Linked DNA regions of Solanum lycopersicum. Each later gene encodes a partner of the first gene's protein in a complex. Links are inferred from orthologs where the notes say so. Each region holds a gene or a part of one and is shown in the gene's direction. Other genes may lie near its edges. The genes, in order: general transcription and DNA repair factor IIH helicase subunit XPD, general transcription factor IIH subunit 2, general transcription and DNA repair factor IIH subunit TFB4 and general transcription and DNA repair factor IIH subunit TFB2.

Region 1 (7,726 bases):
TTCACATTTCATTGCAGATCCAGTAGTAAACAATTTGAGCGAGGATGTCAAGTATTACCAGGTCGTCTTCTTCTGGTGGTATCCCAGTGTCAAAGCCATCACGAAGCCTTCTATTCTCCTCCTCCAACAGAGCAGAACGTTCTTGCATAAAGCGCAAGTCTGATCTCACTGATTTCAGTTCTCGAGCTAACGTGGCTGCTTTTGACGCCATGGAAATTGCAAGCTTCACAGAGATATGTCAAGTTAGATCGTGAACACAAATGCAAAGGTGATGTAACACCCAAAAAAAAAAATAAACTGAGAGAGACGGGTACCAACATTTTTGGCTTTCTTGAACTTCCCAATATGTTTCAAGACCTGCCCATTTTCTTTTTTGGTATCATCATCTTGTTGTGAATCCTCTGAACATTCGTCCAATTTCCTCTTCAATCCTTTATTTCCTTCTTCAGTCTCTTCTTTTTCTTCATCTCCCTCGTGTTTACCTTCCTTTGATTGGTTTTCTCGACTTGCCTTCTCCATTGTGCAATGAAGTATATCTGTCAATGTGGGTGGTTTTGCTAGATCCCTTGCTCCCTGTATGAAAATTACAGGATGCATGATCAATAACTCGATGTATGCACTCGCAAACAGAATTTCAACTTGTATGCTTTTTTTTCAACTATATCATGCAGTGCATTTATACTCCCAAATACACTTCTTAAACTTCAACAAAATATAGTCGTTATGAATTATGTACGCCTCAAAATGTTACATTCCAGAAGTGTAAGAGTATCTATGAGCAACATCTTCTTTTAACCTCATCTAGCAACTATTAATGATTAGAAAGCACTATACTGAGTAAAGGACCTCAAATTTACGAATCAAATCTTCTTTTTGACTAATCTATCTTCCTTAAAACAAGAGGCCATTGATAATTCACACCACTAATCCTATATGTACTACATATATGCATATACACTGATTTTAAATCCATAAATGACAATTGACAAACAAGATAGGTGCTTCTTTTATTCCCATCTAGCAAATTATTTATGATTACAACAACACCAACATACCCAGTATAGACACACAAAGTGGGCTCTGGGGAGGGTAGAGTGTACACGGACCTTAACTCTACCTTGGGGGTAAGAAAGGTTGTTTCCAATTGACCCTTGACTCAAGGAAAAACAGTCCGAAGCAAGTCCAGAAAAGGAGTAATGGAAGTGAAAGCTACAACATTCTAAACAGTAACTACAACAAAATAGTAATGCTACGACTACTAGAATTGATTGATAGTGAGACACCACACTATGCCACTGATAACCAAAGTACAAGAAACAACAAATAGTAACAGAAATCAAACTAAAGGAAATTGATATTGAGACAACACACTATTACCTACTAATTTACTACCCTACTCCGTGCCCACCAGTTATGATTAACAAACACAAATGCTCATCCAAATTAAGGTAAGAAAACTCAATTTTACAAACCAAAATTGCATCCCAACATTTGAAAAATCATAGATCTTTATCCTATATGAGCTTTTGATCAAACATTAAAACAAGGGATACCTGAAGGGCATTTTCCAGATTGTCAGATAACAGTGAAAGAGAGGAAGAAACTGAATCAAATCCTCTTAGTAAAAGCATAGCATCCTCCTTCATCCTCTTCGATCGATCCTCTGCTCCATCGAGCTGCTACAAACAATTTTCAAAGTAAATACACAAAAATTGAGACCCAAAAACAAATCTCACTGTTTCTGATATACTCTCGACTCGTGTTAAACCATTAACACAACAAAACAATAATCGAGGTACAAGTATAGTAGCAAAAAGCAAACTACAATAAAGCTACCAAAAATCAAATCTTGAATATTAATTTAAGCCCAATTTACCTTTTGAGCAGGGTTGTGATTTTCGCGGTTTTCAAGAAGAGTATCTACCCTACTGCGAAGATTACTCCAGAATCGTTTATCTGATGATGGACTGTAAATTGGTGAAGAACCCATCAAGCTTGGTGAACCCTGAAATGGTGGAAAAATTCAATTTTTATAAAAAAAACAAATCTAAAGCTGCAATCTTTATTGTTGTTTTTTTTTTTATAAAAACAACAATCATGAACAACAACATACAATAATCGAAGCTAAAGAATCAACAGAACTTGTCATAACATAAAAACAAATCTAAAGTTGCAATCTTTAATGAATAAAGTACCTTGTTAAGGGAAGCAGGGGATGAAGATTCTACTGAGATTGTCATTTGAGTTTTCTGGATTTGGAGAGAGAGAGAGAGTGTGTGTGTGTTTTAGAGAGAGAAAATTGAATATGTAACGGCTAGTTTCGAAGGAGCTGATGATGAGGTACTCTTTAAATAGGAGAGTATACACATACTAACGTTATAAATTGCACAAAGTTGTCTTCTTGCCTTTGCATTTATATTGTTGACTTGTTTTCTAAGGGGTTGTTTGGGTAGTACATGGTGGGATTTTTTAAATAATTTTTTTGTCCTTGATATGACGGTTGATATCCGTATTTGAATTCGATTAATTCAGATTCTGTTAGAGGATTTTTCCATACACAAAACATGAATTCGAGACTTATGGTTAAAAAAGAAATAACCCGATTCATCGTACGACATTCTTTAACGGTGGTCGGATAGCTTATGACTAAGTTTGATTTTTGATCTATATTATGTTATCAACACGAGTTGTGGTGTAGTGCTAGGACTGGCCCACCCTTAATCAACCTGCAGAGCGCGATTCAACTTTAGTCAGGCTCTATATATGTTTAGATCCCGATATAAATCTAAGTTTTAGTCTTGAGATATTGCATCTTATCTTATTTAACGTGAGATTATTTTACCCCAATTTCTATATGAGGTAAACTAACACTTGATCTATATGTTTGTTCTCATTCATCTTGAATTTAAGGTTCGCTACATGTTTGCTCTCATTCAACTTAAATTTAAGGTTTTTTGCCTTATTCAACATGAGATTATTTTATCCCAGTTTCTATGTGAGATAAATTAGACTCTTGAACTATTTGTTTGTCCTCGATCAACTTTAGTTTAAGGTTTTTTGTGTGTTTTAAAATATTCATTATATAAATAAATTCAAAGCAACATATATAATGTAACGTCACGAGTAAAGTTTGAGAGTGAAATATACACAAAATTTACTTTTATCTTTGTGGATTAGAGATGCTATTTAAGATAAACTTGTTTCTAAAAAGAAAATATAAGAATTTCAAGATAACAAGGTACAAAACAAATGTAGAAGAAAATAACAAAAGATAGTATTACACATCCAAGAAATATTTTAAAAAAAAAGATATTTATATCACGTAAATTGGAACAAGTATTATTAAACCTTATTTAAGTGTACATAATTGGAACAAATATAGTAGAGCCCCCCCCCCCCAAACTACCCCTCACTCTTTGCCGCTTTACTGTTAAATCCTATACAACATTAGGGTCTAAAGAAGAACTTAGGTCTCAATTTTTCTTCAAAAAAAAACTCACCAAGATTCAATTTTTTCACTCAGAAAACAAGAAAATCAGCAAACCCCAGAAGATGAAATTCCAATTAGAAGATGTAACAATCTATTTTCCATATGATAACATATATCCAGAACAGTATCAATACATGTTAGAACTCAAAAGAGCTTTAGATGCAAAAGGGCATTGTCTTCTTGAAATGCCTACAGGAACTGGTAAAACAATTGCTTTACTTTCTTTAATTACAAGTTACAGACTTTCAAAACCATCAAATCCAATTAAGCTTCTTTATTGTACAAGAACTGTACATGAAATGGAGAAAACATTAGCTGAGCTTAAATTGTTGTATAATTATCAGTTACAGCATTTCGGGCCGGGGGCTCGAATGCTGGCAATTGGGTTGTCATCAAGAAAGAATTTGTGTGTGAACCCATCTGTGGTTTCTGCTGAGAATAGGGATTCTGTTGATGCTGGTTGTAGGAAACTTACTGCTAGTTGGGTTAGAGCAATTGCTGTTGAAAATCCAAATATTCCTACTTGTTCCTATTATGAGAATTATGATACTGCTGATAAGGCTGGTACTTCCACTTTGCCTGCTGGAGTTTATACTTTGCAGGTATATCTCTCACCCTTCAATCAATGCATGATTAATTATGCCTCGATCCCAACTTAGTTGGAGTTAGCTAGATGAATGTGGTTTATTATTTCTATATGTTTTAGATGGTTATAGTTAAGTGAAAGATAACTTTTTTTGTTTGCTTCGTGTGGAAATAAATTAGTTGTTCTTGACTTTGCTTGTGGAGGGTTCAATGACATCTATTATATAAACTAGGCATAATACTTAAACAAACACTTAAACTTGGCCTCAACTAACAAGTAAGCACACCAACTTTGATAGAGCATATTTTGACATCTCAACTTGGTCTCAACTGGTACCTAATCAATTTACTCCTTCCGTTTCAAAAAGAATGACCATATTTCCTTTTTAGTTTGTTTCAAAAAGAATGATCCCTTTCTTTTTTGGTAACACTTTAACTTTAACTTTCCACGTGGTATGTTTAAGACCACAAGATTAAAGGGCATTTTGGTATATTTGACATAACTTTGATTTAGAACCACAAGATTAAAAAATCTTCTTTCTTTTCTTAAACTCCGTTCCAAGTCAAACTAGACCATCCTTTTTGAAACGGAAGGAGTAACTCGTCTCTACTGTGTCTCGTGGACACCTGATGTTGACGTGACACATAAATTTTGGAGGTGTTTAGATGATCATTTTGTTGATTGGAGTGTTCAACTGACACAGTGGATGTAAGTTGAGGTGACTAGATGTGCATATTCGAAGTTGGAGTGCTTACTTAGTTTGAGTGTCCGTGTATGTATTATGCCTATAATCTAATGTGGTTGGATAAGGGGTTATAGTGAAACAATTGATTGTGCAGCGGTGAAGAGTTTTTCTGCGTTATATGTTGTAAAGACTATTTCTTCACTAGAACATTTACTGTCATGATTAAGGCTGTTTCTGCATTTTTTAGGAGCTAAGATTGTTTGGTAAGGAGAAAGGCTGGTGCCCGTACTTTCTGGCGAGGCATATGGTGCAGCAGGCAAATGTTGTGGTTTACAGCTACCAATACCTTCTTGATCCCAAGGTTGCTGGTATCATATCAAAGGAGATGGAGAGAGAGTGTGTCGTAGTGTTTGATGAGGCCCATAATATAGACAATGTATGTATTGAGGCACTTAGTGTCAGTGTGAGGAAGCAAACACTTGAAGGGGCAACAAGGAATCTCAGTAGGATGTCTAATGAAATTGAAAGGTAAATATCTTCTGTGACAATAGCCTCTTCTTTCGATGACAATCTTTTAACAACCAAGCAAAAAACAATTACCTCTTCTTGTCACAATGACTCAAAAGATATCGTTTTTGAGTTTTAAATTTCTCCCAATAATGAATATATTTAGTTTCAAGAATTCATGGTAAGAATCAATTTTGATATAATAAGAAGTTAAAATAGGATTAACAAAAACTCTGTTAGAAGAAGTTCTCTCAGGCACTAATATCGAGTTTATAGTCTAGCTCGATATTTCCTACTTTCCTGTTCTCCGGTGATCCTTCTGATCACCAGAATGTACCTTATTCCTTTCTTTCTTTATTGTCTTTCTTCATTTCTCCATAGATAGCACTCTAAGGGCATTGCCTGTATTTACAACCACAAACATCAACACTGCTCCAAAGTTCAAAGGAGCATAAGTACAACTTCACTCAACTAAGTAAGTATCACTGACTCCCTAATTCAAGGATGACACGAGACTTTGTAAACAATAATGGAATATAAGCAAATCAAAACATTGTAAAACATTTTTCATTATAAAATATTATAAAGCATTTCATGCTGAACCATGGTTTGCATATTCTTACTTGATAGCATAGAAGTATAAATTTTCTAATAGCATTTGAATTATGTTTCATGCTGTAGTTTTCTGGGTCAAAAATGATTTGAAATACCTTGGAGATTGTTCAATCTATTATATATGATGTAATGATCTGTTATAACCCTCTCTTGGACAAGCCCTGTAAAGGCAAATACGTAAAGAAAAAAGAAGAGAAGTAAAGTAAAAGGATGGTGAGATACCCATGTTTGGCTAACATCTTGCATGGTAGGAAGGCTGAAGGCTACTGATGCTGGTCGATTGCGGGTTGAGTATAATCGTCTAGTTGAGGGTCTAGCTCAAAGACTGCCCGGTATGTTGATTAAAGTGTTCGTTCACGATGTACGTCTAATCTTGTGCAAGTGATAGTAAGCCAAGTTTCTTTCTCATCTATCTTCTTTGTACAGCTCAGGATGTATGGCTTGCTAATCCCGCCTTGCCTGATGACATCATGAAGGAGGCAGTGCCAGGAAATATAAGGAAAGCAGAGCATTTCTTGTCTGTTTTGCGAAGATTTGTCCAGTATCTTAATGGGCGTCTGGAGACTGATAATGTAGAAAAAGAAGGCCCTGTTGCCTTTGTTGCTTCTATTAATACACAAGTTGGAATTGATCAAAAGATGTTAAAATTTTGTTATGATAGGCTTCACTCCCTTATGTTAACCCTGGAGATTACTGATACAGATGAGTTTCTGCATATACAAACTGTTTGTGACCTTGCCACGTTGGTAGGGACGTACGCTCGGGGCTTTTCCATTATAATTGAACCATATGACGAGAGGATGCCACATATTCCTGATCCTGTCCTGCAGGTGCGTGTTTGCTTCTCTTGGGACATATTTGTCTAGCTTTGTGATTTACTTGTCTTGAGTTAAATACTATATATTGAAAATTATTGTCATTAGTTTCTAAATATTTTACCATTCAGATGTTGGATTTTCGAGTGCACTGGTCTTTTCTCAAGACACTTACTTGTCTAGCTTTGTCATTTACTTGTCTTGAGTTAAATACTATATATTGAAAATTATTGTTATTAGTTTCTAAATATTTTACCATTCAGATGTTGGATTTTCGAGTGCACTGGTCTTTTATTTGTTCTCAAGGCACTTACGATTGTGATGCCTCTTACCTGAGTGGGGAATCAATTTGTCCTTCTTTATATTGATCTTTTTGTAATGATTGCCTCTAATTAGTCTAATCATAGTCCATGTCTCCTGTAATGCACATCTGTCCATAAAAATATTGCTATATTGTTTTGAAATGCATATAACTGGGAAGATATCTAAATTGCCATTGATAATTTTTTAAGTTGCTTTACGATTAGTGCTCAATTTTCTTACATCAGAAATATTTTGGCTTGCCAGCTTACCTGTCACGATGCCTCTCTTGCCATAAAGCCTGTTTTTGAACGATTCCAATCTGTTGTGATTACCTCGGGGACCCTCAGTCCAATTGATCTCTATCCTCGTCTTCTCAATTTTAATCCGGTAGTAAGTCGAAGCTTCAAGATGTCACTGACAAGGGATTGCATATGCCCAATGGTCCTTACCCGGGGAAGGTAAACATTTGACTTGCTGTTGACCTCTCATGACTATACCTATCTCAACTCCCAACCCACTCACAAGATGTGGATGAGAAGAAGAGCATATATCCTGTTTGAGTGTTTCTTAGTTTGATTATGTTGAAGAATTTAGTACATGTTATCTGTTTTGTGTTTCTCTTAAATTGCAGTGATCAGCTTCCTGTAAGCACTAAGTATGACCTGAGAAGCGATCCGGGCGTCGAGAAAAATTATGGGAAGCTTTTGCTAGAAATGGTTTCTGTT
Region 2 (7,923 bases), on another chromosome or scaffold:
CAATCTGATCATTGAAAGACTTAGCCAAAAATCTTACCTGAAGGCAGAGTAATCACATATTCCTCTTGCTATTCGTAATTTGATGCCAAAGAGGATTGTGAGTTTCCATTGATTAATTTTACATCCCCTTTAACTCTAATTTTAATTCATACACGGGCCAAGGGATTAGGATATTAAGTGAATGGAAAATTAGTAAACTAGTCAAAATTCCTAATATAATTATTAAAAATATCTACATTTTAAAAGAATTATTTAAAACATCAATACGTCAATATTTATGTAAATAAAATATATCTTAATACATTTAATTTTCTTTCCTTTTATTTCTCAAATCAATCCCACATTTGAGTCCATTTTGACTCCACTATCACACTAAGCATTATCAACTTCCTCTCCCTCTAGGGTTTTTGTACTCCAAATCTCTCTTTTTTTCTCTCTCTCATGCATTCTTCACCATGTGAAATCTCTCTCTTTCTCTCTCTCATGTGTTCTTCACCATGCGCTATAGAGCAGTCCAAAAAGAAGAAGAATTATGGGTGTTGAAGATGTTGATGAACAAGTTGAAGTTCAAATAGATAAAGAGATCTTATAGAGCATATCTGAGCATCTACATAACCCTATCCGCATGCGAAATCCTCCCCCAGTTCGAAATATGGATATCACCAACAAAAGAAAAATTACATGTACTTCATTTATAACAGCGAAATCAAAATAAGAAAATACAACTTCTTGAACATCAAACTTGTATGTTTATTCATTCTAGTTTTCATGTTATATTTTATATAATGAAACTTGTATTTCTTTATCAGTTTGTATTCGCTCCAATATGTATACCAAATTGCTTTTTGGATTTTTGATCAACAAGGGGGACAATGCCATGTAGTTTACTTTTGGATTCGTAGCTGATGAGAATTTTAAGTAAATATGTTCATTTTTTAAAATAATTTTTCCCCTAAATTACTCCTTTTGTTATTAAATAATTGTATTCTTTCAATTAAAACAAATAATAAAAATAGAAATCAGATACATAACAAATTAAAATATTGACATTTTAAATAAATATTGAAAGTGTTGCTAAGAAGTTTTATTACATGCTAAAATATTGACATTTTAAATTTTTTTCCGTAAATAAATTATAGAGTTGACCCATTAACCACCAATTAAATTGCATATTTAGAATCTATTTGTTAACTAAATAGTCTTAGTTAAATGAACAGCCTAAAGTTACCAATTTTAATTCACAAAAGAGTTAAAATAGTTATATTTCTCAAAGCAACCTAGCGGATCGTTACAAACGTTTTATACAACATGGGGTGAGGAATAAGTCTTGTGATACAGATATATATTTTATAAATCTACATGCCATATATTTTATGATGTCCAATTTTATAATTTTATTATTAAGAAAATATATAAAAGTAAAACATTCAACAGTTCTAAAAATAAATTTTATGAAATTATCATTAATATAAAAAAATATATTATACTCATCTAGGACATATGCCTTATAAATCTACTCTTTAAACTTGCAATAAGGGTTGGCATGGTATGATGCAGTATTTTAAAGTTTTAATACTGTAATTTTGATATTTGATTTTTAAAAACATTATAATATTACATATCAATTTAATTCAGTATGATTTGATATATTGAAATTTGATTTCGTGTGTGATTGTGAATACCGACCTAAAACCAACTGACCTCAAATGCAAGTCGGTTATTTCCGACCTCTGGAGGTCGGTATTGTTAAAAAGAATAAAAACAACTTTAAAAAATTGACTACACGGAGTCGATTTTTATGCAAAATAAAGCGGGAAAATCAAAGACTGACCTCTTTTTTCCCGAAAAAATGAGTTGCAATAAAACTGTGCTCTTGATGTCGGTACTAAATATAAATAAATAAATAATAATTTTTTTTCAATAAAATATAAAACACAAAACTGAGAAATATTTTGAATTAATTTTATTTAAATCGCCATCCGGAGGGCGATTTGTGTAAATTAAAAATAAAAAAAAATATAATATCGACTTACGAAAGACGGAAAAACTAAATAGTATGTAATTAAATTGATTTTCATTAAAATATTATAATAATTTCTAGAAGTTAATGAATTAATATTTTCAATTAACTTTAAATAAATCGTCCTCCGGATGATGGTTTTAGATAAGTTAAAAAATAAATTAACATATAATACCGACTTTCTAATGTCAATATTGTTTAATTAACATGAGATTTCTTATTAATCTTAAAATTTGATGTGATATTGATATCATGAGGTATGTATTTTTTATTGAATCTAATTACTTTTAATAAAAGCGATATCCATAGGTTGGTTTGTTTAATATATTTCTAGTAATCATAATTTTGCTATTGTACGTAATACTAAATTTTCATCTTACACCTTCAACTAATTGTTTGAAAAAGTATAACAATTTTGTATACTTTTGAATAAAAAGTTAGAATTTGTGGAATAAACAAGATAACATCGATAATTCATATTTAGAGTATAAAATTAGGTTGATATGAATTAGCAAATAGTTATACTTATATTTAGAAAGTAATGTACAAATTCTCTCAGTTTGTCGTCAAATGATCAAAGCAGGGACCATTTATTAGAAATAAAAGGAACAAACATATCATGTCATGATCTTGTCCCAAAACAAACTACTTTGTCCAAAATCAAAATACAGAAATGAACAACCAAAAGAGTTGGTCGTCTTTGAGCTTGAACTTCCATGGAGGATGAAGAGAAGGTGCTGCCTTGGAGTGAAATCCATCACATGCAGCAACCAAATTTGCATTTTGCATTTTTTAGATTCTCAAATTTGCAATTTTCTCTATGGTCCGAGAAATCGACCTCTCCATTGAAGGTAGTAGTGAGAAGAGGATAGAAGATAGTTCAAATGCCTCCAATATATAGACATAGATTGTAGTGGATCCGAATTAGGACAAATTTCATTGGAGACACTCATATAATCATGTAGAAGTGAAGAACCAACCTATAATCTATTCGAGTATAAATGCGAGATAATACTTGTAGAAACGTCATGATAACTATTTATTAATTTTATATTTATAATTAGTTGTTTAATTATTTGTACGTATAACCTTCAATGTCTTCTCTCGTTTTATGAAACAGATTATAAAACACCGTGTATCATTGTACAAAGCAAGTTCGATTAAGATTATTATGTTCGATCTTGAATGGTTGTTAAGTGTAGTGACCATATCGTAGAATATGGACATGTAAAAGATAATTCTTCGTAGTGTGAAATACATTAATTATATACTCCTTGAGTAGTTTAACAAATCAAGTCTTATAGATTAGTGGTTCAGATATGAAATATGTTATCAATTAAAGAAGAGATATCGATGTTCAATTTAAGGAGATTTATATATTGATATCGATAAACTTCTATCAATCGATAAAATTAAATTTATATAATTAAAAGATATATAATTTAAATTTATAACATTAAATTTACGTTGATGTAGTTAAATTAAATTTATTATAAATATATATAATTTTAATTAATATATTCGACCTCTTAAGGTGAGTTTATATTAAAATTGATATGTTTAATTATTATTTTATTTAAATAATATCAACTTCATTATGTCCATATTTATTTGGAATAAAATGTTTATAAATATAAATAATTATTTTAAAAAAGAATGATAATCTCTAAAAAAAAAAATATCAACTTCATTATGTCCATATTTATTTGGAATAAAATGTTTATAAATATAAATAATTATTTTAAAAAAGAATGATAATCTCTAAAAAAAAAACCTTTTAAGTTTTAAGTCTCTCTTTCCCTTCTAAACCTCTCTCACGCCCACCCATACTCGACCCAACCCCGACCGGCGCTGCCTCGATCAGCAGCAGCAGGAGGTCGCGCTACCTTCCCTGACTCGATCGTCAGCAAGTCGCAGCAGCAGCAGCAAACTTCGGCAGCAGCAACAGAAAACTCTGGTAGCAGCACAAACTCCGGCAGATTAGGTAATGTAATCAAGCTCTTCTATTGTATCTTTTTATAGGGTTGGATTATATTATTAGTAGTATGTATAACTGGCGTTTGAATAAAATCAAAAAATAAGTGTCATCAATAGGTTGGGTTGGACAGATTGAAGGGGTCATTTAATTGAGTTTGGTTGTTGTTCAATGTGGATCCTTCGATTGAGTTTATACACATTAAAATTTGAACACTTTAATGTGTTCAATTGAGTTTGGTTGTTGACATGTTCTCTTTGATTTACTGTCAAGTGCCAAACTTTCCCCATAAGGATGTAGATTTTGGCAAGTTGGACAGTCAATATATTGAAAACGGTAAGAGAATGTTAAGTGCATGTTGAATTTGTGTCTAAACCAGTATGCTGTTGTTACATATTATCTATGTTTCAGTTGCTCTAATAAACTAACCAATACAACACATTCCCATATCATCATATACAATTCTACCTTCCCAATATTGGACAGATATACCAATAACATGTGTATGCCTTACAATTTGATGTCAATATTGATTTATAATACTGATTGTACTTTAGAGATCTCATATATGTACAACTATGAACTGAAAACTTGTGTTTGTGCATGGAATAAAGGAGTCTGCAAATACTTCAAGGTGTTGTAAACTCAGACTAAAGCACTGAATGGATTTGACTACATACTTCAATTGCATTAGTATTGCTTCTAGTAAAGTATAGCATCCAGTTGAATCAACTACAGTCTAAATGTAATAATCTGAAATTTGATGCAATATGAAGAGACTAAAGTTACAACTACAGTTTGGTTGTTGTTTATATACATTAAAATTTGAACATTCTTGTTGGAATTCTTGGTTTCTTAACCCCGGACACAATCATGGTAACATATACATTACAATAACTAGTGGAAAAAAGAGAGGAAGTATTGAAAATAGGAGAAACCTATTTTGAGTTATCAAGAAAAAGAAAAAACAACACAAACTTGTTTACTAACTGTCAAACGCTAATAATCACTAAAATCTCTCTATAATGACCACTAAAGAAATTTTCAATTGTTTCTTTTCGTGGTAGGCAACTAAGGAAACTCAACGTCTAAAAAAGTTGATACAAGACTATATTGCTACTTTAATTATAAGGTTTGGTGTTTCTAAATTTCTAAAGTTCAAGTACAATTGTTTTTTATGATGTGTTTGTGTCCATCTAGTGTTGATATTAAGCTTTAATTTAAGAATAATGTGTTTGTTAAGCATAAGCACTAACATTAGTTGATTCTATTTTCTTTTTTTTTTGCAAGATCAGTTTGTATCCATCTAGTGTTGATCTCAAATTTTAATTTAGGAATAATGTGTTTGTTAAGCATAAGTACCGATATGATATTTTAAATATCAAATACAAAAAAATTAAAAGATATATCAATATACAATGATATCAAAATCATGATATTAAAAATTTTGATATAGTATGATATTTTGATATATACCATACCATGTAAACTCCTAATTTGCGCCTCAAAGCATTTCTTGAACACTCAAATACTTGTCACAAAAATGCCTTTGAAAACACTGATTTAAAGAAGATACCATGAAAAATTCAATTGGTCCATAAATTCTGTAAATTCCCAAATAAGCCTTTTGACCTCAAGATCCTCTCTATTCACTCTTATGATATAGACTAGTTACAAAGAGCCCGTTCAATTGTGCAAGCACAAATTAAATATACATAACTTTATTTATCTCAATAAATTTTTATGTGAGTTTTAAATGTTATAAGTTGTTTAATTGTTGTAATTTATAATTTTTTTTATGTAATTTACAAATAATATATATAAATTTGTCTCAGTTTATGTGGTACAAGTGAAATTTAAAGAGTCAATTGATTTAAATTTCAAATTATTAATTATTATCATCATTTATAATACTATGTCTTTTGTAATTTCTAAACACATAACATACGAAAAAGAAAAATAAAACAAATTGAAAACTTTAAATATAAATCGAGAAAATCTTTATTTATAGTACAATTTTTTAATACATAACATACTAAATAAATGAAAACAAAGAAAACACACTACATATAAATAGTAGAGGAAATTCAATGAGAGTGTAAAAGTCACAACTCAAGTACATAGGGTTCATCAAGAATTGGTTCAAAACAAAGTGCGGATTCACTCAATCCCACATCAATCTCTATCTTCTAACCTCCAAGGTATTTTTCTCTAGTAAGTTTCTCCGTACCCTTGTTTTTTTTGGTTGTTAATTGCAATTACTCAAAGAACTTTGAATTGTTATCAAAATATTGAAGTTGGGGAATTAATTTTTGTTTAGTTAGAGGAATCTTATTGTAAGTATGTTTTGTTGACTTGAGAAAATCATTGGGATGGTGAAAGTTTTGACTTTTATCTAGTAGGGGAAAGAGAGTTCCGAGAATATTTCTAATTTTATGAATGCGAGAATTAATCTGTTAGTGTTTCTTTGTTTACTTGTTAGAATGAAGAGCATTTTCAAATTCCTTTTATCAACGAAAACCTCTGTCTTTTGTAGTCTCAATTGTTTTTTTTTACGTCTAGTTTCCTTGTACAAATATTATATGCATTTTCTTTATCAATGAAGCTTCCTCTCTTCATTTTTCCAAATCGTATTTCTACATTAACACCTAGCTTCCTAGCATTAATTTTTACTTGTGTCACTTAGATTAATACAACTACTTGAATCTTTAATCATCTACATCAGTTAAAATTATCTAGCTTAAGCACTTAAATCCCACCTAGTTTGAATTTGTAGGGAACCTAGTTGTGAACCTTGTATGATGCCTATTACTTTTCTTTTGAGGTGATTTGAACTCTTAATGATCTCAGGTTGTGGAGACTAGTAAATTGAATTATTTGCAATTAGTTGTAGTAATAGGTTCCCTAATGCGCAAGAGGGGTGTTGGAATGAAGTGGATTGAGAACCCTAAGGTCGTTGCTTCAAATCCCAGTAGAGACAAAAAATAAGGTGATTTCATCCCATTTGTGGACGTTACCTAGTACCTCTTGGTAAGAGGTACATGTATCCCATGGAATTAATTGGCCCGGACACCACAATTATATTAAAAAAATTAGGGTGTTCTAACACACCTTAACCCAGTAGGTGATAACTCTTCTCTTTAGCTCATTAAAAGAGTTGTCACATGTTGAAGCCCGCTTTTGCGAGAAAATGGGGCGTGACACACTTAGGGGGAAAAGTGAAGCATAGAAATAGCAAAGGACTAGGTACATATTGGAAAATAGTGCATGTAGTAAGGATGTGTAATGCAAGGAACTCAGAACACCTACATACAGTATCTTGTACTAATACTGAGTTTGTACAATTAGTTTCTCAAGTATCTGGTTATCTTATTAAGAGTTGGTATTATATCTAACAGGGAAATGAACACGGAAGAAAAAAGATTTAATCAAGAAGAGGAGGATGAGGAAGAAAATGGGAGAGGTCGAGAAGCATGGGAAAGAACTTATGCAGATGAAAGATCATGGGAGTCTTTACAAGAGGATGAATCAGGACTCCTTCGTCCAATTGACAACAAAACTCTATCCCATGCTCAGTATCGACGACGTCTCCGCACTGCAACTGCTGCACGAATTCAGAAGGGTTTGATTCGGTACCTCTACATTATCATTGATTTCTCCAGGGTATGTAAAATCCTGTATGATTGCAAAATAACTGCAGTATTGTAATTGGTTACTGACATTTAAAGGTTAATTTTTTTTTTTTTTTGCAAAATATGAAACAATTATTTAAGCATCTATAGTTATCTGTTTGTAAATGAGTTATCTCCGGAAGAAGTTAATCAGGTCCAATTTCCCAGACAATCTGCTGATCTTCTTCTGATGCTAGCAAATTGTTTCTTATGAAGGAACACAACAGGGTCCTTTTTAAAGAACCAGCAGCTCTTTG
Region 3 (7,711 bases), about 43 Mb from region 1:
AGAGTTCATGCTGCAGAAAGTAGAATTAAGGGCACGGCTAGTAGCAAAGTAGACATAACTATTCACCAGAAACCGAAATAAGGAGGTTATCACAATAAACAGTGGCATTGCTTATTATAAGAAGAACAAGTAACAGTTTTGAAATACTGAAGAATGCTTACATCTGCTCTTTTGTCCACCACAATTCCAAGGACAGCATCCCCCACGGTAGGTATATACTGTAAAGAAATAACAGCGGATCAGCAAATCAAAGAAAGTTCAATTTGATATTCTTTAAAGAAAAAAGTTCAACACTTCAATTCAACCAGAAGAGACTATCCTAATTTTTATCACCGAACAAGGTTATTTCTAAAATAGTTGTATCGCAGGGTTAAATCTAGGAATTGAGTAGTCACTGATGGAATCATTAGTACTTGGCTCCTATTTGATAAGGTAGTACTATAGCTCCCTTGTTAGTCCATATTTCAAAACAATACATTTAACCTTGTAATTTCATACTTTTTTCCCTTTATAAGTTTTTTGCCGAGTTAACTAAGCAAAAGAAAAAACATAAAGGACCTCTGCAACTCTGAATTGGATATCTTCCTTTAACTCTCTAATATAGTAGCATTAACTCACTTGTGCAATAGTTGAGGACATATAAAGTTTGCAGATCCACCATAACGCACATTGGCTCATTCATTCTAGCAGTGAATCAAAATTTCAACCTAAACAGTGAATACATGCTGCTTTATTTAATTTCATATACATTCCCTTAGAGTTTCACTGTGAGAAAATCCAAAGTGCAGTTTACTATCTCTGTTTCAATCATGAGAAGATGCTGAGTTAAAGAAATAGTTTCAGGTTACTTTAAACGTATTAAAATATTAGCCAACAACCTGTAAAAAGCAACAAAACTGGAATTTTCCAATAAAATCTACAAAAAAATAACAGCAGAAGTGATACTTGGATAATTCTAGAAAGATAGCACCACTCACTCTTTTGTGTGAGCTTTCAATCCAGTACTTGTTTGGCTTTGAAAATCTCAAAATACCTGCTTTGACGACAGTTACAGCATCATGATCCTGTCAAAACGGGAAAAATATGTATAGAACCTCATATATATTTATCTTGAAGGCAGTTAGAAATTATAAACTTTTGATGCATTGCCTCCTTATACTTAGAGCCACAGTAAGTATAATGCTGAATAGAGTACTATCATCCACAGAGGAAAATAACCATATACAGGTAAAGTGCAAGAAAAGCTAGCTTTGAATACATTAGCTTTAAGTCTCTTTTTGATACATATAGAATGAGAGAAAAAGAACAAATTTTTTTTTCAAAATAGCAAGAACTATGTGCCTACAAATGTTGAGTTCTTGGTGTATCAAACAAGTAAATTGTAATAATCCAAAATCAGTGAGAGAATTAATGTATTCCCTGAATGTGAGAAGGAACTTTCTTGGTGCTCTGAACAACAAAATTCCAACTCACTTACCAGAAAGAAAAAAAAAGCAAGAACAGTGTATAAAACATAAAAAGAACCTTTTTTTAAGCTAATATTTGTATATACAAGAGCCACAAACAAAAATCTATAAACCCATGAGACAGAAATCAAAGCTCTGAGAGGAAAAACCTGTTGGAGGCCGCCACCCAGTTTAATCGTTTGGTTAGTCATGCTGGAAAGATCTAAAACAACATCACCAGGAACCTAATCAAAACCAAAAATACAATCTTTTTTGCATCAAACAATTTATACACTATAATCTGGCACAAGAAATCGAAAAAAAAAAAGTTTGTACTTACTACTGGTTTATCAATGAAGCAAGGTTTCGAACCCATTGTATTGTGTTTTTCTTGATTGAACAGAGTGTTTGTGTAAAGTCTTGGGGTTTATGTCTCAACAATGTTAAAGATTGCTAACCTAGCACCCCTTTGTTATCAACATAAATAGTTTTTATACAAAGTTATATTTTTTAAAAAATAAGGAACGAAGAAACTTCTAATTTGGGTTAGAGGAAAATAAAAAAAAATTATATTTTTTACGCAAATTATATAATGTCAATAGCTAATTATATTTCATTCTTACTATATTCAAATTACTAAAATTCCCTAAGTATAGTGGAATCCGAATACATTCCAAAGCATTTCGATACATCGTATCTATGTTTCAGATATGTTGCATCTCGATTATCTGATACATTGCTCACATCCTCATATATCACGCAAAGTGATTTATTCGACTAGTTATAATTTTTTCAAATAGTAAAAGTTTTAAATAATGTGATAAAATAAGTTGTGTATTTAATTTTCCTAAAAATAATAAGTACTCCTAGGTAGGGAAAATTAAAATAGAGAATTAAAAATAAAGGGATTTTTTTTTAAAAAAATAAAAATAATAATTTGGATTTTAGGGGAAAATTAAAATAAGAAATAATAAAGTAAAAAGTTTGGGTTTAGGGAAAATTAAAATAATATGTAAAAAAAATTGACAGCTGTGGGATTTGAACCCACGCCCTTTCGGACCAGAGCCTAAATCTGGCGCCTTAGACCACTCGGCCAAACTGTCTTTTTGTTATGATAACGATGTTTTTTTTTATTAACAATTAATTATCGAAGTCTTTTTCTGTTATGATTCAATAAAAATAAGCATTATATAAGTAAAAAGGCAAAGCCCGACAGTATATTGCATCGGCGACGCTCTCTACACCTGACCGGTGAATTAAGGTTTATTCCACCGGCGGCCATGACACCGGTTTCATCAAAGCTTTACGCAGGTCTGTCTCCTTCTCTGTCTGTGTAGCTGAAGTATGCAATAAGTACATGTTAGTGGAATAAGAGGAAAATGTGTTAAAATTAATCTCTTTTGAATACTTTCAGACGATGTGAGCCTATTGATGGTTCTGGTTGATACAAATCCCTACTTCTGGAGCTCAATGAAGAACACTGCCTTCACATTCCCTAAATTCATATCACACGTAAAGACCCCTAAAACCCAAAATTTGTTTTTTTTTTTAAAAAAAAATGAATAGTTTTGTGTTCTCCATTTGTTGAATTTTGATGCTGGAATGTATGGGGGAAATGCAGGTTCTTGCTTTCTTGAATTCGATACTTTTACTGAATCAGATGAACCAAGTAGTTGTGATTGCAACTGGGTACAATTCATGTGATTATGTATTCGATTCGTCTACCTCGTCAATGCAAAGAGCTGAGTGTTTGTTGGAGAAACTGGAGGATTTTGTGGATAAAGATGAGTCCTTGAGTCAAGAAGACTCTGTTGATGGAGTTGGGTTTTCGCTGCTTTCTGGTGCACTTTCTATGGCTTTGTGCTGTATCCTCAATCAGTTCATGTCTGTTGGTTTTTTTTATATTCTTATTGAAGTGAAATTTTAATGATTTTTATTGAGATGCAGAACCAAAATTTGGACTTGCTAGGTTTATTCTTTGAAGCTCTTAGCACTGAATTTATTGACTGTTGAAATTCTAGATACGAAATCTAATCTTTTTGGTTAGATTTTAGTTTTTCTTACTTGTGTATTCATGTTCCGTATTTGAAAATACTGAGTTTGGTTGAACCCGTAGCTATTAGCTATATCTGCCACTGGTTTTTATTTGTTATTGTGCATAGCTTTGCATTCACGTTTGTTTAGAGGAAGTGTTTCTCTTGACCTGTGTGCACTGTTAGACATTCAACGGGTATTTCGTTCAGGGCCTCTTCATCCACAACCTCGGGTAAGTTCCTTATTTTACAAGAAACTGAAAATGGGTTCTTCTGGGATTTTGAATTGATGGAATTTGTTATGAGAATTTCTACTTGTATTATTTTGTTTATCCAGTTACATTTATAGATTTTATGCTTATGTGAAATTTTCCTGGTCGATCCATTTGGGATCGTAAGCTTTAGCATTTACAAGCATAACATGTTATTATGCCAAATACCTTATCCATGGAAATATCTCTCGTCCAAGGGGAAAAAGAACTTCGAGTTTTTTCCAGTGATTTCTTTGGCCTTTTACGTTTCATGTTAATTCTGATAGTGTTTCTTAACCCCAAAGGTGCATTTAAGGGGGTTTGGTGAGGTAATACTTTAAGTTATTCTATGTTTTATGTACCTTAAACAAAACCATCAATTAAACTTCAATGTGCCCTGATTTATTTGTACTGCAATTTTTATCCAATGGTATAGTGAAACTACCATTCCCATCCTTATCAAGAAAAGAAAAAACTAGCATTCCCGATGAAATGCCATTTCTGGTCCCATTTCATTGGCAATTTCTTAATGTGATATTATCAGATATTACTACATCATTTTTGTGTTTGTTAATTTGATCATTTATCAGTAAGGTAGTTGTTAGGAAAAAAAAATCTGTCTTCTCTTGTTTTATACTTTAAAATTTGATCCGTTTTTGTTATGTTGGATATGAATATTGATGCTAAGAAAATGTGCTTGAAATTATGGCAGATATTGTGTCTGCATGGATCTCCAGATGGGCCGGGACAGTATGTTGGATCTTCACAGCTTCTACAATCTTCTCATTGTTAGGTTCTCTGCTGAAACATGTTCTTTTTTTGCAGATATGTTGCAGTCATGAATTCAATTTTCTCAGCTCAACGTTCAATGGTATATAGGATTTAACAATTCTTTCCTTCAATTTTCCTTCTTGATTAATTAGAAAGTTGTCACATGTCTTCATAAATGTAGAATTTTCAAAATTAGGGATCGGGACTTAGATTTCCATATTGTGATCCTACTCTAAGAAATGCAATGCGTTTTTATTGCAGGTACCCATTGATTCATGTGTAATAGGATCTCAGCATTCTGCTTTTCTTCAGCAGGTAGCATTTCTATACCTGAAAGTTCTGGTTGAAAATCTATTCCTTCTCAGCATGAGTTATTTTCTGGCTCACTGATCTTATGGTGCATATCTATCTGGGAACAGGCTTCTTACATAACTGGTGGTGTATATTTGAAACCCCAAGTATCAGATGGACTGTTTCAATATCTCTCTGTAAGTGTTATTAAAATTATTAATACTAAGTTGTCTCTCTTTGTCAAAAAAAATACTAAGTTGTCTCTAGCTTAGCATTTTAACTTGTCAATAGCATGGATCCAACATTGAACATCTACGGTTGTCTCCAGTGCTGCCTTCAGACATTAGTTTCTATCTGATGTGTAAGCATGTTGAACAAGTCACTATACTTTGATTTGTTTAGTGTATGCAATTTTTGTTTCCAAGGAGCTTACACTAAAAAGACCTTCCAAAAGTTTGACCTATTTTAAATCTGGTATTAAATATTTAATATATGTACTACTATTGTTGGTGTTGGAGATACAGTGATCAACCAAAAGGCTATGACTGAAAGTACCAATGTACTCTTTGTGGACTTAGAAAATCTTCTCCAAATGTCTTCTGGACTGCCGCAGTCCGATGGCTTCTCCTTTTGCCCTCTATAGTGAACTTCTCATGCTTTGTCTCTGTGAGTAGGAGATAATAATATCATGAATGAAGATGTGATTGTTGTATGACCTTATTTTCAACATTTCGTTCACGTTTCATGGAATGCAATAGACCCATTGCTAAAACCACTTCCACGACTAGAATACAGTATCTACACCAGAAGTTATATTGAAATTGATTTCTTATTCAAGATGTTCTTTCACATCAACAAGTTGCATATTTCTGTCTGATGCGGTTGGTGTACTGTGCTTTCATTCACCTGGTGTGATCTGTAAGATGGTTAAATGCCTTGTTTTATTTTTGAGATGTTTTATTTGTAGAATGTCTTGTCTTGAGATCTAATTTTCCGTTTGAAAATACTGACAAGACTGTAATAAATACAGACAGTTTTTGCGACTGATTTACATTCTCGGAGCTTCTTGCAACTTCCCAGACCTGTTGGAGTTGACTTCCGTGCATCGTAAGTGATTAGTGTGTCTATTATTCAAGTTATGTCACATATGATGAACTGGTAATATAATATTTGGTATGTATCCTCACTAATATTTTATGCACTCTTTTTGATGGTAGTATTCAACTTTTTGTATTGTCAATGTTCAAGTTCGTTGTGTTAGCTTATCTCATTCTTCTTGAATCGTCTCAAATTACCTACGAAGCTTAAGTGATTTATCCATCTAGCTCAATGTCATTTAAGAATGGTTGTACCACCTTTTCTCTTGCATTGTGAAAGCTCTTTCCTATTATACCTTTTTTTACTTCAATTAGACAAAAGCTTTCATCATCCACTCGTATTTTTGGCAGACAGAAATTCTCCTTGGATCTTCTTATTTGAGGTTGTTGTATCATCTGTTAATTTTGTCTTAACCATATCTTTCCCAACTCCCAGCTTTGAGTCATTACGAGTGTTACGAACTTGCAACTAACTTTTGAGAGTGCAGCTTTTGATAGGATACTTATCCTGAAAAAAGAAAACAATGTTTATCAAGGAGACCTATTCTCTACTAATAGCAAAAGTAGAGTATTTATTGAATTTCCTCCTATCTGGACTCAAATAAATCTGTGCTCCAATTTCCAGTCTATTCTTACAAATTCTTGGATTTAGCCCCCAATTAGTATTGGGTACTCTTCACCCCTTTACATTCCATTAAGTATAGCTGCTCATCTGATTATGTTGTGCGACTAATTTTCAGGTGCTTTTGCCATAAAAACACGATTGACATGGGTTTCATATGCTCTGTTTGTTTATCAATATTCTGCAAGCATCACAAGAAATGCTCAACTTGCGGGTGAGTATTCATTATAAACTTATTGAAGTGTCTCATTGATGAACTTCTCTTTTTTTCATTAATTATGCTGCATTAAGAATAATGTTCCGTCCAAAGAGTTCACATGAACTTGTGATCATGTCAATGTTACTGTCAGTACTGGTTACTTTTTGATCAGTTAGGAGTTCTATTGCTGTACACACAAGGAGTTGAGGTATTCTAATGAACAGCACTCTTATATTCTAATAGGGAGAGTTGCCATGATTTACATGCCCTAGCTTCATTACATCAAGGTTTTAACACTAACGCTAAAAGATAAATACATATTTTCAATCTATGTACACTTATGTTTTCATTCAAAATCTCTAGCCTTCTCACCTTCTAGACCGCCCACCAAATACGAGAAGGGAACTAGAAGTATTGGTTATTGGTTATAGTTTCATATTATTTACAAGGACAAGGGTGGCATGGACATAATAATGTGTATGCTAGTTATGTGATTTTCACTTATTTGTTTTGCGACATAATATCTGCTAGTTTTCTGGAAAGGTTGAACTCTGCACAGCAATTATAGGGATAATAGGTGCAGTTAAAAGGTCCTATTGAAAAACATAGAAGCTGAGGCAATGTTACCTACCTTGCACTATGTTAACTATCTGAATTTCTTGAGAGAAGATACATGAACATCACTCACCTAGTAAGTGCTAATGGATAACTTGTCATTACATTTTAAGGATTCTTTTCTTGTTTCCTGAGAACATTTCAGACAAAAACCGAAGACACAGGAAAAAGGGTTGCTTGATTCCATTTTAATATTGTAGAAGTTTATCTGTAGTAGCATCCTAACTGTTTTTCAACCACTCACTCCGCTGATAACTCAATTCATTGAGTTTGGGTATCCTAATTTTTAAGTTCATGCCATAAAATGCAGATCAAATTTTGGGGAGGCACGAAAGCAGGATCCCTCAGCCTCGGATCAGAGGAGGACTTCATATGGTAGTTGAATAG
Region 4 (7,747 bases), on another chromosome or scaffold:
GAACTTAACTTAGCACATGAAGTTTTAAGTTCAAACTAGCCAACACCTTCTTTTTTTCAATATTTTAAAGACAAAATAGTAAATGGGATTCAAACAGAACCTCCACAAACACCTCAGAAAATGTGCACCATTTATAAACCAGCACATCCAATTAATGCTAGTAGGGTCTCAATGTGTCTAAGAAAATACATGTCCTATATATATATAATTTTTCTAAGTTATAGGACATGTTGAGAAATAGGAATCCGGGTTATTAAAGGATTTCCTGCGATTATTTCTAGTATGGAATGAGTCAATCATTCACTTTGGCATCTTATTGGACAAAAATGGTGATATTGTTCCTCCATTGATCAAGAATTTTGATTTTTGGGAAGTATCATGATCGTCCAATAAGAAGGGTTGCAATTTTTTCAAATGAACAATTTGAAGACCTATTGATTCTAACAACTGATTGCAGAGTTGATCATTCGGACCTTTCAATTCTTCATAGATGTAGATCTCAGACCTATGAATGGGGATATTTCCGAAACTCACACAGAAAAAAGGAAGTGAGTTTCCGCTTCTGCATAAAATTAAATTCTATATAAAATGTACCAAAATAATTTTTAGTATTGTGATTTTAAAGGTATATGGTGAAAAAGTTTGAAATTACAAAATTGCATTTAAAAAAGAAAGAAAGAAAAATGACATTTTTTAAAAAATAGATCAAAAAATAAATCAAAATAGGGGTATTTAGAAGGGTGAAAGTTGATATAAAACTATAGTGAAATAATTTGTACTCAAAACTAATAATATGCAGTAAAACAAAAGCAAGAACAACAAAGTCGCCTAAATTTCCGAATCAACGATTATTCCCCCCATTTCCTGCATATTCTTTTTTATTTGATTAAAATCCACTATCTTCATCTTCCACATAATTTAAAAAAAATAAAATCTGCAAAATTTGATATTAGATAAAACAAAATACGAAAATTAAAGATTAGAGAGAAATAATGATTCCACAGAAATGGGCACCACCTTGTAACAAGCAATGCACAAATAAATTCTCAGCCCTCACCCAAATTCCTTGTAATTTACTCTCTTAATTCCCCCTTTCAATTGTAATTTAAAGGTCTTATATTTGTGTTAATATTTGAACTTGTTATAAGTACCAAGTAATTCGATTCACCGTTAACCAATTAGTAGGATTATGGAATAAGATGGCCTTCGTATAGCTGGGCCTAACTAGTCTGGGATTGAGACGTGTATGTTTGAATTAGTTAGAATAACGACTTGTTTTATACTTAGACTCATAGATAATGATGCATTTTATTTGTTGTTTTAAATTATACATTATCATGAGTAAAATTTTTGTAGGGAGAGTTTTTTGCAAAAAGGCGTGTGATGATGATGGCGATACATGGGAAGAATGTAAGTTTCCTAAACTTTATTGGTTTTCATGTTGCAGATGTATGTATCATGTAGAACAAAGGAACATTCAAATTTTAAAATGATATAGGAAATCATATCGTTGTTAAGGCGTTTAATGCCTCAATGCATCTGTATTCAATTTAAGGTAGAATAGAAATGAAAAGGTATGTGCAGGTTTGGAACAATGCGATGAGATGTGCTATAAGGGTCCGGTTATGAAGGATCAACAATGGAGTGCTTGTATTGATCGCGCCCCTGGTTCTGCTACCCACTCTGAGGATTGTCATCGCGCTTGTGTAGCTGGCTGTGGTTTCAAGGTCAGTTTCTTGTATAGTACATAAAACAGGGAAAACATGCTGTACATAGTCTTAAGATCCACTCTGTTTATGAAAAATGCAATTCATGTCAATTGGTTAGAGGCGGATCTAGGATGAGTACTGTTGCAGGTTCATCTGAACCCAAACACGTAATATATTAATAAGATCACGTTCATTCTGAACCCTCACTAACTCTAGATGTTACGTTAGCCTATTACCATTTTGCTTTATTGGATGCTGTCAAATGTTTTTATTTTTATCTTACTGTGCAGTTTGATATCCCTACTGAGGAAGTAAATAAAATCCAATCAAACAGGTCTTCCAAGACTCTAGCAGAAGAGGAGCCAGCTGATAAAAACAAGTAAACTTGAAGATTTTCTTAATGCAACTAATTGTAATGGGCAAGAATAGCATCTATATATAGTTTATTCTACGAGCTAGGATTTCTACTATAGGAAACAGTTTCTCTAGTCCTCCAAAGGTACAATTGAGGTCTGTGTATATTCTATTCTAATCATACACCACTTGTGGGATTATACTGAGTATATTATTGTTGTAACTTCATTATGCAAATAGAAGTGTTAACTTTTTCTTTCTGTAATACAACAATCTAATAGAAGATAATGCTCATAAAGTTTAAATTTATGCAGTTATAAATTACAACGTAATTATGTAAGTAAATCTTTTATGAAAATATTGACGGGTAATAATACTTTATCGGAGGATAAACTACACTAATCATGTGAAAATTATTTACATAATTTATACCATCAAAAAATATTTAATTTAAAATGTTAAATCATAATGAAGAAATTAGTTACCTGGGAGATAAGTGACAACTTGCTTACAATAGGTTTGAGAAGCTTCGACATTTGGAAATTTCATAAGCATTCGAGAATTTAATTTTTATGAAAATATGATAGAGTTTCACTCGAGAAATTTGAAACTACATGACAAAATTAATTTTCGATACCAAGTAGTATTTCGCTGAACCCAAAAATGCGGTCCAATTCATATTGGGCCTTCAAAGTTTTTGGCCCAAATAGCAAGAGAAAAGAACCTTTGCTCGCCCGAGTGGGGTTCAATACATAAATCTACAGTTTCTGTAATGTTTATGAATCCGGCGATAATATGTATTAGCAGAAATTAGGGGAGAATCATCATCATTCAACAACAGCTAAAACCCTAGATTGAGAAATTGAAGTATTGAAAACCTTTATTTGATCTATAACAACAATGCCGCAAGTGAAGATCGTCGCCAGGAATTTCATGGACATGGTGGCTTCATTGCCTGTCATGAAACTCGACATGCTTTACGACAATTCCTTTATCTGTGAAGCCATTCTTAGGTATTCTAAAAATCCCCAATTTGATCGAATGTTAAGAGTTTTTCTTGCTGCACAACCAGTTATAGGATTAATTTCTGCTTGTAAAAATGGATGTAATTTCACCATTTTAGCATATAGTGATATGTACTGTGTACATTTGGATGCAAAAGTTGTTTACTTTGTCTTTAAGATTATTATTATGGAGAAATGAACTTCAAGCTATAGTCATAGATGGATGAAGTTAATCAGCAGCAAGTGCTGTGCTGACACAAGTATAAACATACACAAGCACAAATTTTTTAATGTTTGACTGTTTTTATAGAAAGTATTTGGAGTATATTTTTTTTTGTATCCATGGCAACAAGAGATTGATTAATTCACTAGTACTTAGCACTCACTGTATTCACCTCGAGCTATATCAAGGGAATTCACTTTTGGTGATACTATTTTGAAACATGTTATATTATGTGCTTAATTTGTTCATTTCTGCTAGATCGTTACCTCCCTTAGCGAAGAAGTATGTGCTGCAAATGTTGTATATAGACATACCAATTACAGCCAAGTCGATGGAGGAGTGGGTGCTTCCAGATGGATTCTCAAAGCATAAAGTTGCCATTGATAGATTGATACAGCTGAGAGTAATGACAGAAACATTTGACAGGTTATTGAGCAGATTCTTCTCTCTTGATAGCTGCTATATTTTTGTCTTGAATAACGCTGACCTATAACAACATTTGACACTTAAATTTTTATTTGGTTGTTATAAGCAAAAAAGAGATGCAAAAAATCTAATTTTTAATGTGAGAAAAGAGGATAAACTTGTTAAATTTAAAATCTCAGAAGTAATCATATTTCAGCAATTCAAAATTAAATAATGCTTGTACATTATCAATGAATTTTGACCCTTACAAGATGGAGTTTTTATCTCTAATGGAATACAAAGTCACTGCCTGTTGTTAAATTTCCTCCTCAACCGGAGGCGGATGCTATATAGAGGTCTGTATTTACTTTTCCCGCTTGATCCTATCTGGTTGTCATGTTTTTCACTTAGCACTTTAAATACACATGAGCAAAGTTAGAACTTTGGTCAAAATAAGCAAAAGCATGATTAAAGGGAATATCTTGAATTGTTAATGCTTGATCTTTCTTTTGTTTTTTCCTTTTAAGTTTTGCTCTTTATAAGCATTATAGAAGTTTTAGGTAGTAGAAATCATGTCTCAACTATTGGAATGACGAAATCTGGTCAGGGTGATCCACAATATCTTTGCATGTTGTTATAGTCAGTTTTTGATTGTTGAACGTTGCCATTCTCTTTGATTTCTTACAGGAAAAAGGAAGCCATGTATCAACTAAACCCAAAATTTCAATTTAATCTTCAGAAGCATATAGTCTATGGGTAAGCTTTATTATCTTATTTATGTTATTTTCTCTGTAGGTGTTAATGATCACTACTGGCCAGCCCTCTCTGAGATGGGTGATCTAAAAATGAAAGTACATGTACAGTTAGTAGAAGTACTAGTCAATGACATTTGGCGTCTAGACACCAGATTCATGGCCTATTAATCCCCGTCTCGAAGGAACGATTTCTTTACTCATTTGCATATTTGAATAAAGTTGGCCCAAATTGAGTTGAGTTAATATAGAGAATTGATGTAGGTGACTGCAACTAGTTTGGGATTGATCGATTGAGGCATAATTATTATTATTGTTGTTGTAGGTATATTCACACTTGTGTATATGTTCCATTTTATTCATCCTATATGACTTCTTGATTTGTCTTGCTAAATTTCTAATTGGGCTCAAGTTCAGAATTTGACCCTGATACATTTGACCCTCAGTTGACCTATAAGATGCTAAACTTGATACAGTAACTTGTTGTGGTAATACTTCTACATGATGCTGAAATATCTGTCTTAACCTTGGTCTTGTAATTGCACTATAATATGTGATTTCAATTACTGTAGTGGAGTCTTACCAAGGGAACCAATGCCTTCTAATATCACTGTGAGGCTTCCTAGCTTGGAGGAGTTAGAGGCATATGCTGTCGAACAATGGGAGGTATGACTTGCATTTTGTTAGTAGTTCTTATCCGTTGATTTTCCAGGAGCGTTCAGAATGTGTAATAATATGTTGTGAGACAATCTGCTTTTCTTTCGGTCTTGATCAAACTGCAGCCTGAATATAATTTTGGCAACTATTTTTATGACTTGCAACTGTCGCAACCAGTGCTTTCTGCTGAACCTTATAAGCTCCAGTGAAGCTGGAAAGACCACAAACATAAGCTCTTCGATGATGAAAATCTTCCAGCGTGGACTTTTAAGTCAGAGGTACGTCCACCTCAGTGTTATGGATATATATTTACTCGCAGAAAACATATGTATAGTTCTTTGTCCTCATGTGTATTTATGATTTTGTAATAATCGATATAATCTCCATGAGTTCATGCCTTCTTAAGCAGAGACGATAGAGAACCTCCAAGGTTGACTGAAAGTGGGTTCCAATTCTTGGTACGATTTACTGAATTATCTGAATCAATTAGTGTTCTTTTTTGTTGGGAAATTGTATTGACTGGTGGCATATTACAGCTAATGGACACAAATGCACAGCTTTGGTACATCATCAGGGAGTACATAACAAATGCTGAGGTATTGCTGACCACCTCCTTCTCTCCCTGCATGTGTGTGTATGTGTGTCTCAAGCTCCATTGGTTCATTGGGTGGTGTTGTAATTCAGTTACATTTGACATTTGCTTATCCCTCACTTTTGCGGCTAGTCTTCTGATAGACTTTGGAGATAGGTAGGGAGGAATTTTCAGAGATGCAGCTTCGGCCTTTGTAGAGCTTGCTATAATTATATCACCTACTCTGCCTCTCTAAGGTCGTCAAAGCGAAAGCATTCCCAAGCCTGAATAGAGGAAGAGAGTTGAGGGAAACCGGTGGCGAATGTAGCAATAGTCAAACTATTTTGAATACTGAAAAAATGTGCAGATTGGATACAGGCGTTTCATACAAGATCATATAGCTAACCCCAATTAGTTTGGGGATTGGAACCTAGTTGAGTTGAGCTTATTAGTTCCACCTTAGATTTTATCGTTGCTGATAACATATTTTAGGCACTTTTTCCTTGTTTCCTTACCTCTTTAAATTAGTTAATACAAGCAAGAATCAAGAAGATATTCTTTCTTTGATTTAAGATTTTGGTTGAGAAGATATTGTGCCTATGACCATTATTTGGATTGTCTAGTATGGACTTCTATTTGTATAACTTTTGGACAATTTAATGATATTAAATGATTACTCTGTATTTTTCATATTAATGCAGGAGCGAGGAGTGGATTCAGCAGATCTTATTGCATTTCTTTTGGAGCTAAGCTTTCATGTTACTGGCAAGGTATTATTAGACAGTTCTAGAGCTTCTTGAATTAAGTTTGTCCTGGAGCTGTAGTAATGATACCATCTTTTGAACTCTAAATGCTTGAATTTTAGTTAGTTCTGGTTCTGGAGCACTCAGATGTTTGGTTGAAAAGTGGTGAATTTGTTTTTGCAGAAAGTTTTGTACTTTGACTTTAAAAAACAATATTTGAAAAACTGAAAAATATTGTGACGAAGTCTTTCAACCATTTTCCCAACCACACAGTTGTAATCTTCATTTCTTCAGTATGCTCAAGTTTCGTATGTTTGTTGAATTTTCTTCTGATATAGGCATACAATACAAACACAATAACTGATCTCCAGAGAAGTATAATTAAGGACCTTTCAGATTTGGGATTGGTCAAGCTGCAGCAGGTGAATACTCCTTGTTGCCCCATCAATGAGCTCACGAGAGTGAAAAGATTTGTCTTTTTTATTATGTTCTTAATTACCCATTTGATGCTGTTTAGGGAAGGAAAGAGAGTTGGTTTATTCCGACCAAACTGGCGACCAACCTGTCAATTAGCTTAGCGGATACAACTACTAGGAAACAGGTATGCTGCACTCGCAAGTGTTCCCTAGAGTAGTTGGGTCTAGTTACACAGAAATCCAATTTATTTATTTGTTTTCTATCTTTGTTCTTACAGTTTTCTTATAAAGCAAGTGTGTACAGAAATTTTTGAATTTTATGCTTCCTGTCATCCAGATTTTTTTTGATAATGAAAAAAAATAAATAAAAAAATCTGGATGACAGGAAGCATAAAATTCTAAATTTCTGTATACACTTGCTTTATAAGAAAACCGTAAGAATAAAGATAGCTTAGTTTGAAACGAGTTCAATGATACCTTACTGACTGCAAATGCATCTTTGCCTTCCCACCCACACTCATCAGGGTTTTATCGTTATTGAAACAAACTTCAGACTGTATGCATATTCAACATCAAAATTGCACTGTGAGATCCTACGCCTTTTTGCAAGGTACCAAACGATTTGCTGCTGCTGCTTGTGTTTTTTTCTGTAGTTTGGTTGAGAAAAGAGATCATATGGAAAGAACAGGTGCTAACTCTCCTCTTGATAGCATTACCTGGACTCTGTTGCTACTTTTTGTTGGAATTAATACCATCAAATCTGACACTAGTCTGGTGCTTGCCAAGAAATGCATTACTTGTATCATTTGCGAGTTGAGATAAGAACTTGTCCAATTATTCATGGGTTATGCCTAATACTCTGTGTTTGGCTGTTGAGTGTATATTTTCTAGTAGTAGATTTCTTTCATCAACT

Evidence for each region.
Region 2: general transcription and DNA repair factor IIH helicase subunit XPD (region 1) and general transcription factor IIH subunit 2 share a complex: the UniProt entries of both Arabidopsis thaliana proteins name them as parts of the 7-subunit TFIIH core complex. The link is inferred for Solanum lycopersicum from reciprocal best matches to the Arabidopsis thaliana genes UVH6 and GTF2H2.
Region 3: general transcription and DNA repair factor IIH helicase subunit XPD (region 1) and general transcription and DNA repair factor IIH subunit TFB4 share a complex: the UniProt entries of both Arabidopsis thaliana proteins name them as parts of the 7-subunit TFIIH core complex. The link is inferred for Solanum lycopersicum from reciprocal best matches to the Arabidopsis thaliana genes UVH6 and AT1G18340.
Region 4: general transcription and DNA repair factor IIH helicase subunit XPD (region 1) and general transcription and DNA repair factor IIH subunit TFB2 share a complex: the UniProt entries of both Arabidopsis thaliana proteins name them as parts of the 7-subunit TFIIH core complex. The link is inferred for Solanum lycopersicum from reciprocal best matches to the Arabidopsis thaliana genes UVH6 and AT4G17020.

The regions. Positions count from the first base shown.
Region 1 is NC_090805.1:2,933,102-2,940,827, reverse strand, and holds the start of general transcription and DNA repair factor IIH helicase subunit XPD, read left to right. Parts: upstream 1-3,404; 5' UTR 3,405-3,552; coding exon 3,553-4,092; intron 4,093-5,008; coding exon 5,009-5,289; intron 5,290-6,138; coding exon 6,139-6,215; intron 6,216-6,309; coding exon 6,310-6,713; intron 6,714-7,265; coding exon 7,266-7,459; intron 7,460-7,632; coding exon 7,633-7,726. Other genes in the region: uncharacterized protein, read right to left, coding at 59-223, 319-573, 1,554-1,679, 1,877-2,005, 2,196-2,240. UniProt on the Arabidopsis thaliana protein: ATP-dependent 5'-3' DNA helicase, component of the general transcription and DNA repair factor IIH (TFIIH) core complex, which is involved in general and transcription-coupled nucleotide excision repair (NER) of damaged DNA and, when complexed to CDK-activating kinase (CAK), involved in transcription by RNA polymerase II.
Region 2 is NC_090803.1:54,341,333-54,349,255, reverse strand, and holds the start of general transcription factor IIH subunit 2, read left to right. Parts: upstream 1-3,769; 5' UTR 3,770-4,004; intron 4,005-5,062; exon of another isoform or gene 5,063-5,127; intron 5,128-7,393; 5' UTR 7,394-7,397; coding exon 7,398-7,658; intron 7,659-7,923. UniProt on the Arabidopsis thaliana protein: Component of the general transcription and DNA repair factor IIH (TFIIH) core complex, which is involved in general and transcription-coupled nucleotide excision repair (NER) of damaged DNA and, when complexed to CAK, in RNA transcription by RNA polymerase II.
Region 3 is NC_090805.1:46,429,362-46,437,072, reverse strand, and holds the start of general transcription and DNA repair factor IIH subunit TFB4, read left to right. Parts: upstream 1-2,641; 5' UTR 2,642-2,725; coding exon 2,726-2,756; intron 2,757-2,859; coding exon 2,860-2,957; intron 2,958-3,066; coding exon 3,067-3,310; intron 3,311-3,664; coding exon 3,665-3,711; intron 3,712-4,441; coding exon 4,442-4,479; intron 4,480-4,554; coding exon 4,555-4,600; intron 4,601-4,761; coding exon 4,762-4,815; intron 4,816-4,919; coding exon 4,920-4,988; intron 4,989-5,821; coding exon 5,822-5,898; intron 5,899-6,628; coding exon 6,629-6,724; intron 6,725-7,634; coding exon 7,635-7,707; 3' UTR 7,708-7,711. Other genes in the region: uncharacterized protein, read right to left, coding at 162-218, 978-1,064, 1,616-1,690, 1,786-1,821. UniProt on the Arabidopsis thaliana protein: Component of the general transcription and DNA repair factor IIH (TFIIH) core complex, which is involved in general and transcription-coupled nucleotide excision repair (NER) of damaged DNA and, when complexed to CAK, in RNA transcription by RNA polymerase II.
Region 4 is NC_090801.1:59,304,996-59,312,742, forward strand, and holds the start of general transcription and DNA repair factor IIH subunit TFB2, read left to right. Parts: upstream 1-2,810; 5' UTR 2,811-2,963; coding exon 2,964-3,076; intron 3,077-3,548; coding exon 3,549-3,716; intron 3,717-4,382; coding exon 4,383-4,451; intron 4,452-5,019; coding exon 5,020-5,113; intron 5,114-5,281; coding exon 5,282-5,382; intron 5,383-5,513; coding exon 5,514-5,562; intron 5,563-5,640; coding exon 5,641-5,700; intron 5,701-6,376; coding exon 6,377-6,445; intron 6,446-6,756; coding exon 6,757-6,840; intron 6,841-6,935; coding exon 6,936-7,019; intron 7,020-7,358; coding exon 7,359-7,444; exon of another isoform or gene 7,445-7,747. Other genes in the region: uncharacterized protein, read left to right, coding at 993-1,068, 1,357-1,410, 1,585-1,727, 2,000-2,092. UniProt on the Arabidopsis thaliana protein: Component of the general transcription and DNA repair factor IIH (TFIIH) core complex, which is involved in general and transcription-coupled nucleotide excision repair (NER) of damaged DNA and, when complexed to CAK, in RNA transcription by RNA polymerase II.